Ovis aries: one gene and its partner. The protein of the gene in region 2 purifies or fractionates together with the protein of the main gene of each other region. This does not show direct contact. Links are inferred from orthologs where the notes say so. Each region holds a gene or a part of one and is shown on either strand. Other genes may lie near its edges.

The links.
Region 1: the proteins of ATXN7L1 (region 2) and ATXN7L3 purify together in Homo sapiens (affinity purification with mass spectrometry; 5 studies listed by BioGRID and IntAct, counting the BioPlex papers as one, with this or other methods). This does not show direct contact. The link is inferred for Ovis aries from reciprocal best matches to the Homo sapiens genes ATXN7L1 and ATXN7L3.

The regions. Positions count from the first base shown.
Region 1 is NC_056064.1:43,750,614-43,754,904, forward strand, and holds the start of ATXN7L3 (ataxin-7-like protein 3), read right to left. Parts: upstream 2,923-4,291; 5' UTR 2,671-2,922; coding exon 2,461-2,670; intron 2,162-2,460; coding exon 2,029-2,161; intron 1,826-2,028; coding exon 1,654-1,825; intron 1,458-1,653; coding exon 1,360-1,457; intron 1,173-1,359; coding exon 1,150-1,172; intron 850-1,149; coding exon 783-849; intron 641-782; coding exon 555-640; intron 253-554; coding exon 184-252; intron 1-183. UniProt on the Homo sapiens protein: Component of the transcription regulatory histone acetylation (HAT) complex SAGA, a multiprotein complex that activates transcription by remodeling chromatin and mediating histone acetylation and deubiquitination.
Region 2 is NC_056057.1:48,237,467-48,241,271, forward strand, and holds part of ATXN7L1 (ataxin-7-like protein 1), read right to left. Parts: intron 1,626-3,805; coding exon 1,342-1,625; intron 1-1,341.

The DNA of each region.
Region 1 (4,291 bases), on a different chromosome or scaffold from region 2:
GCGCTCAGAAATGGCCCCAGGGCGTCCATGGCAGACGGTCCCAGACCACACTAGCCAGGAAACCAAACTCAAGAGAGAGACCTAGATGCCCTCACTGCTGTGCACCAGCCTCTTCCAGGGCCTCGACCACTGCCTGTGGCTCTGCCTGCTCCCAAGGGCTTCCCCGCTTCTCTGATCCCTCACCGTGGTGAGCAGGCTGCGCAGCTCCTCTGGCCCCAGGGTCTCGTAGCTGATCCCAGTTGAGTTGTTATACTGGGTGAGAACCAGAGGTACAAGTTAGAGGAGGGACGGCCAAAGAAGGGAGGGTGGGGGTGTGGAGTCAGTCCCTCTCGTCCCTCCCTCAGCACTAAGGCCTTAAGGTTGCCCGCAGTTCTCCAACAGTTCCTTCCACCCCAACTGCACCAGGGTAACGAATTAGGACCCACAAAGAACATGAATACCCAAGACCGAGACACCCATCTAGTTAGCGTTCTGACCCCGACTTGTCCAAGCCCACCCGACTCACAACGAGGCAAATACTGAGAGGGAACCTACGAGGGATAGCCCCTACTCACCTTAAAAGGATCCGAATTGCTAAGTTCCCCTGAAGAAGAAAAAAGAAGGGGAAGGGTGTTTGATGCAGAGGTACAGACAGAGAACCCTGAAAATAACCAGAGAGGAAGTGGGGGTGATAGAAGGATCACAGGCCCTCCCTCGATTCCCCTGCCCCTCCACCTCCACCCTCCAGCAACAAGTCCCAGAAGACATAGTTAGAATCACTCCCATTGTTCCACCCCACTTACCATTTTTGTGTTTTAAAGACTTGGATCTTCGAGGGGAATTGGGGTTCTGGAATGGGAGATACCATAGCTTTGGGGAAAGGGTAACGATAAGGGGGAGCCGAGAACCCAGGGAAGGAAAAAAGATTTGACAAACATCCTCAAATTTCTACTCTTTCCCACCAGTAAGAGGCCTTTCACCCATACTCCCTCCTCCCACCTACCCCCCAGGCCTCTGCTGCCCTCCTGCCCACCAGACACCCTCGGCCCTGAACCCAGAGAGGTACCCAGTGACCTCAGACTTGAGTCAAGACACCCGAGGACTCCCTGCCCAAAGGGGAGGGTATCTGTCCTTGGCCCAAATCTCCCTCATGCTTGCCCCGGCTCTTACCTTGTCTGATTTTCTCTTCTTGGCTGTGTAGGACAAAAGGGTAAAGGGCAGGGTCACTTTAAGTTCCCAATCTAAGAGCACCTAAAGAAAAGTTACAAAGCTACACTCTCCTCCCTCATTAGGGATAACAACTTGTGACTGTTACACACTCAATTCCTGCCTGCCTGCCTCACCCCGATGGCCCTCCCAATTCCCCAGATGCCCAAACACCTTTCTTCTCTGAGCCATAGGACCAGTCGTTGTCATTGATGTCATCATTATCCTCTTGGTCACTCTCTGACTTGTTCATGTTGTTGCTATTGGCAATCCTGCCGAGGGGAGGGAAGAGGAAGGGTCAAGGCTGCCATCTCTCTCTGCCCGACTTCACACGTAGAGGGGAGCATCTGGGGCCAGGCGCGACCCACCCTCTATACCCTCCAAATGTCCCAGGGGGTGGTGGGGAACTCCACCATGGGATGGGCTGCAAAAGATGGGCACTCTGGTTCTAGCAGAAGAAGCCCTCACCGGCGGTTGGCGATTCGGCTGCTGTTCCGACCCATTCCTAGGCACTTCTCCAGGTGGGGAGCAAAACGGGAGGCGGCAATGCTTCGGCTGCAATTGGGGCAAACACACTCCTTGCTCTTCCACTGGTTGAAAACCTGTCCAAAGATGTCCAAACCCGGCTGGTCCACGATCTCTGGGGACAGGAGAGACGTAGCGATCAGGGCAGGCAAGGGGCCCTTACCTCTCGTTCCCACCCATGGCCCTGTGGCCTCTTCAGAGCCCCTGCCTAAGCTCCCAGGAGCTCTAGGTTCTACCTCTGGTGTGGTTGCTGGAGAAGGACCCTCCAAGCACTCCCAGGGAAGGGCTAGGCTGCTCTCCTTCAACCCTGACGCTCACCAAAATCCTTCATGCTCTCAGGGTCCGTGTCGTCCAGGAAGAAGTAGCCACACTTGACAGCCCGGTGTACCTCAAAGCAGAATCCCAAACAAGAATCCTCAACCAGGTCCGCGTATATCTCCTGAGCGATGGCCTGGGCCCAGGGGAGAACATCCAGGGTCACCAGAGTCACAGTCCCATGGACTGAGGGCAACTCTCACCAACCAAATCTCCTGCCAATTCGCCCTGGCCAAAAATAAAGCTTCCTTTGCCATTTTTTCCCATCTTGATTTTGAGTTCTTTCTTCTTCCGGATCCTTGGGCCTTCTTAGCTGGCTCTTCCCTTTAAGGAACAAGGCTGACTACCCAAATTCCTCTCTGGTGTGGATTCCAGATATAGCGAAGGACAGACATCAAGAGAAAGAACTGGAGGCACACGTGGGGGAGCCCTCACCTCTAGTTTGCTGTTATCCAGGCCAGACAAAGACATTTCCTCCATTTTCATTTGTGAACTCTTGTGGAGACGGTGCTCTGACTGCTCATAGCACAGCGGGCGGCAACACGGCTGCACACATGTGGGGGGGATGTTGGTGTGAGTCCAAGGCACCTCCGATGGCTGCCACCTCCCCTCCCCACCTCGCTGCCCAGAGCTTAATGGTGGCATCAAGATCTACCTCTCCCTAAGGCCTCGGTTAAGTCTGGATGGTCCTGCAGGGCCTGAAACCCAAGGGCGGCCTAGTCCTTCCCAGGCCTGAACTCAGGCCCTGGACTCTTACTGCCAATCAGAGTCTGGGTTTACAGGAGGCGGCAGCTCACCCCAGGTTCCCAAAACTCAAACCCCTCTTCCATACCCATGGTGCAATGCAGCAGGGGGAGGAGAAGGAACTCTAAGGCCTCAAAGCAAACCCACAGGGTGTGGCAAAGAACTGCACAGACTCCTAAATACACTCCCCCCCCTCCCCAGGCTCTCCTCAGAGTCACCTCTGCTTTCAGCCAGGATGTCCACTTGGGGGGGTACTGCTACCAGAAGTAGCAATGGCCCTAGGACCCTACAACCTTCACCCCACTCTGTCTTCCCTTGAAATAAGCCTGCCACTACAGACGGAGAGCAGAGCCCACAGAAACCTAGAGCTAAAAGGCCATCCTAGCCACCATGAGCAAGAAAAAGGAGGTAGAATCCGGTGGGATGGCATGCCAGGAGTGGGCACTCCCCTTACCTGTTCTTCTTTGAGATAACCACCCTCCCTCCCTCAGGACCAGCCCGGAAGTCTCTCCAAGAGCCCCAAAGTCCAGGAATCCCCACCAAAGGATTCAGAAACAGAGCACACAGTCCGGGGCCCCTCTGAACGGTGGGTACGAGTTTAAGGAGCTGCCGGCCTAGAGTGGGGTGGGGACTGACAAATGAGCCGGGGGCACTGGGGAGGGTAGGAGGCCGGGCCTCGGCTCTTCCCCCGTCCCTGCGGCACTGCTGCCGCATCATACCGACTGGGGGGAGGAGAGCCGAGCCGCCGGAGGCCGGCGCCGCTCCGGGACAGACCGACCCCTAGAGAGTGGGCAGAGTGGGACACGTCCCGGCCCCTCTTCTTCCCCGCCCGCCGACAGCCCCGGCCGGCCGGGGAGAGGAGTCCGGGAGGGTGTCTCTATTGTCCCGGGGGCTGGGGCCTGGCTCCCTAACAAAGGCCCCGCGCCCCCTCCCCGGCCGGCCCTGCCCCGCCCAGGGGGGACCCAGACAGGGGGAGAGCTGGGGGCCCCGGCCGGGCCGGGAAGCCGGGGGAAGCCGGGCGTTTCCGCGTCGGCCCTGGGGGAGGGGAAGGGGCGCTGACCCAGACCTGGGGGGAGGGGGCCCAAGCCCCGCCTCGGGCCCCGCCCCCCGCCCCCCACAGGCCCCTCCCCCGTCCCCGTCTCCGTCCCGTACTCACCCCGCCCGGGGGGCCGCGCCGGGGCCCGGCGGCCTCTCAGGGCCGCGTCCTCCGGCGGCGGCGGCGGCGGCGGCTGCTCCGGAGCCCCATGTCCGTCGGTCCGTCCTCGCCTCTCCCCGGGGCCCAGGGCCCGGGGCCGGGGGGTCGGGCCGCCCCCCCGCCTCGCCGCCTCACCGGGCGGCCATGGCCCCTTCCCCTCCCTTCTCGTCCCGTCGCCGCCTCCTCCTCCTCACCTCACCCCGCCCGCGCGCAGTCCGCGCGCCGTCCGCGCGCCCCTCCCCCCGCCCCCCACTCCAGCCCGCCTCTCCCGGGCGGGGGGTGCGGCGCGAGCCCGGAGCGCGCGCGCGTGCCGCGACCGGAGGATGG
Region 2 (3,805 bases):
GCTGGGTGCAAGGGGCTCTGTCCACACAGAGAGGCCCCCACCCTCAAAGACAGTGCCAGGCTCTGCCTTTCTTGTGGGACAGTGGGTGAACAGGGCATGGAGAGATTTTCAGGGTAATATAACTGTGTCATTTGAATGCTTTGGGCGCAAGGTACTTTTCAGACCTAAACTTTTTAAAAGTTACAGACATAAAAGAAAACCTGAAATACGGATAAATACAAAGTAAAAAATAAAAATGACCCACAATTCTTGGGGGCACTTAGGAATTATGTTCATGCCAGGGGACACAGCTTCTCTCTCACAGGGCAGTTTTCTCTGTATGGTGGACCCTTGAATAACTTGGGTTTGGACTGTGCATGGATATTTTTCAGTAGTATATACTGCAGTACTACACGACTGGAGGTTGGTTGAACCTGTGAATACAGAGGAACCACATACACAGAAGACCTGCTAGAAATCATATGGGGATTTTCAACTGCATGGAGGGCTGGCACCCCTAATCCCTGCCTTGCTCAAGGGTCAACTATATTTTTCTTTCTTCTGGTTAACAACTAATAAATGGCCAGGGTGTGTGAAGAAGTTATAAAATTTATAGCTTTTCTTGATCTTTTGGAGAAAGTAAAACTGCCAGATTTCCTTTCACAACAAACCCAAAGCAAATACCATCCACTTGGGGGACCCAAGGGCCAACCACTGACTTAAGGACTGGCCATGTGCACCTTTCTGGGTACCTCCAGAGTGCCTACTCTGACAACCAAGTAGATTGCAGAGAGACCCCTCAGCATCCATCTGCTATGCCAGTCTAAGTGTTCCCAAGTGGGAATTCCAGTCTGCTTATGTGGGAAAGGGATCTGTAGCCCCAGACCACAGAATGAACCCGGAAACCAGTGAGACCAAAGGATGGAGATGGGCAGTCAGCACCAATGCGACTGCCCCAAGCCTGCCCTGAGCTACCGGGAGATATCACAGTGGGCTGTCCAAGTCTGCAGCCCTGAGACTTTTCAGAATCTAGGGGCGATTTATCCTGTCAGAGCAAGGACAAAGCCCTCCGAATCCACAGAGTGCTGTGGGGGTGCAGAGCTCCCTGCCTTGGGAAAACCAGGATAACTCCTACTAAGTGCTGAGCTAACTCAGCCCAGCCATCATCAATCTAGCCCGGGATTAAGAGAATCAGTTCTCCCCTGCATTTTGAGATGGGAGTTCCTGTTTGTAGGTAAACTCCGTGTTCCCCTTAAAATGAAACAGACCTGTTCAATTATAAGATCACATCACTCCCTAGTTCTGGACGCAACTCAGCTGTAGTCTGATCATGAGCCAGACTCAAAGAACACAGACACGTACCTGAAAGTCTCCTGTAAGGCTTGTTGTTGTTTTTGGTGCCGTTTTGGTGTTTCTTGTCTATGGTGGTAGACAAAATTCCTTTGCCATTTAAGATCTTCTCTGGGGAAGGTGGCACTGACTTGGACATCAAGACCGGCTTAATGACAGGTGGGGTGGAGACGGCAGAGGATGAGGTGGAGCAGGAGGGGACCGCAGGAGTGGCTGTAGAGTTCATTTTGACATTGGCACCATCTGCCTTCACTAGGTTAGGAATTTTCTCTAAACTGACTACGGGAACCGGAACACTGAAAAATAAATGAACAAACACACACACAATTGCCTTCTTTGATACATCTGGTCTGCTGAGAAGATATCCCTGCTTATCGTTATCAGGACACTTCCTTATCACTTATTTATACTCCTCCTATAAGCGAGCAGCAGGATTCCAGTTTTGATGGGAGAGAGATGCATGCCTCAGAAAAGACTGACAGCGATGTGAAGTTGGCATGGTGCCAGGGATGGCATCAGTGCTGACTGATTACCTCCTGGATCAGTTGTCCCCATAGATCCTGTCGCTCCCCCATTCCTCAGTCCCCTTTGTCAGCAGTCTCCAAGACAGCACCTTGGGCAGAACAGGGTGCCTGCTGTGAAGCTCAAGAAGCAGTACAGTCTGTCCCTGAAGACAGTGTGCCATGGAGCCGCGTGCTGAATCACGCCCCCTCCCCCGCTGCTCGGCTAGTCTCCCACCCGGGCGACCGGGCCTGACATCTGCTCAGCTCGGAGTGCTGACAGGCTCACAGTACATGGAGGCAGGGCTGTGGGCCAGCGGGCCATGCTCCGTGCTGTCAGAGGACTCCTGGATCACTCATGTCCCAGGGATGGGCTGCCATAGAACATTATCTAATATTCCATTTTAGGCAGCTAGTTATGTAAATAGGCAGTTCTCAAGGCTGGCAGGTGAGAGGATGAATCTTAAGAAGACAGAGCACAAAGGTATATGTTTGCTCTTTAGAATCTGTCACTCTAGCCCTGCCTCCCTGCCATTTCTCCTGTAATGGATATGCATTTGATTTCTGTGCATTTCACGCTGGAAGACCCTGTGTCTAGGGGGCGGTGGAGGACTCCATCTCCGGGTCTGAAAGGATGAGACGAGATGAGTAAGCTTTGCTTTGGTTCTTGAACTAGATTCCCTTTCCTCCTTGCAGGAGGGTGGAATGCAAACACTTCAGCACCCTCAAGTCATCTCTGAGCTGAGAGTGTAGCCGACTTAGCTCTCTGAATGCCAAATGGGCTAAACTAGGGCTCAGACATGCCTGCAGACAATGAAGGGCATGAAAGACATGCCGGTTTTGCAGGGGAGGAGTTTTATCTGTCCTCACGGCTGGCTGGTTCTCCCTTCTCCAAGATGCATTCACAGATCATTTCTTTGATCAATTTGTTCATGAAATTATTTCAGCAACCCCCTCAGCCCTTGTTGTTGTTGCTAGCCCTTGCCCCTTTCCTGACTTTGAAACAGGATCCCGGATGTTATTTATAGGCCTTTGCCAGTGAGAAGGCACTCAGTGGTGGAGCACACTGCCCCCAAACCTCAGACTTCACCCCAAGACCATGCGGTTTCTTGGCCTGGGGAAGTATGGGGTGGGACCTCAAGCCCCACGTAACGGGAAACTGCAATAGCAGTTTTAAGTAAGATACCAAGTTACTGACAGTTCTGTCTTTGATCAGTGTCTCAATCACTGAGATAAAGCTACACTGCCACCACTTTCTAGTTAATGGCAATTCTCAAAGCACTCATCCTATGGCTGAAGAACAGCACAAGAAGCCCTTGAAAAGTCAACACACTAAGAAGCTGCAAAAGAGATTGCCTGGTGAAATTAGGGTTGCACCTGACTTCTTCTAAATGGTAAAATACGCAATGCTATGGGATACTAAATTCTTCCAGGCTCGTTCCTTCAAAGGTACAAATTACAGAAAGCAAGGTGGTGAAGAGGAATTTGTACACCATGATCTAGGCAGCATTATTCATAATGGCCAAAAGGTGGAAGCAACCTTAATGTCCACTGATGGATGAATGGATAAACAAAATGCGGTAGATACATAGAGCGGAATGCTATTCAGCCTTAGAAAGGAAGGAAATTCTGACACGTGGGTGAAGGTTGATGACAGTATGCTAAATGAAATAAGCAAGTCAAAAAGATTACTAACTCCATGATTCCAACTGTACAAGGCGCCTAGAGCTCAGGTTCATGGAGACTGAAAGCAGGATGGTAGTTGCAGGGGAGCTGTTGTTTAGTGGGTACTAAGTGGCAGTTCTGCAAGCCTTTTTACACTTAACACCCCTGAACTATACATTAAACATGGTTAAGATGGGAAATTTTGTTATGTGTGTTTCACCAAAGTTTAAAAAATTTTAAATGCACAAACTGGGATTGTTATAAAACTCATGTAGCTTATTCTCCAATATCCTGATTTTAAAAAAATATAA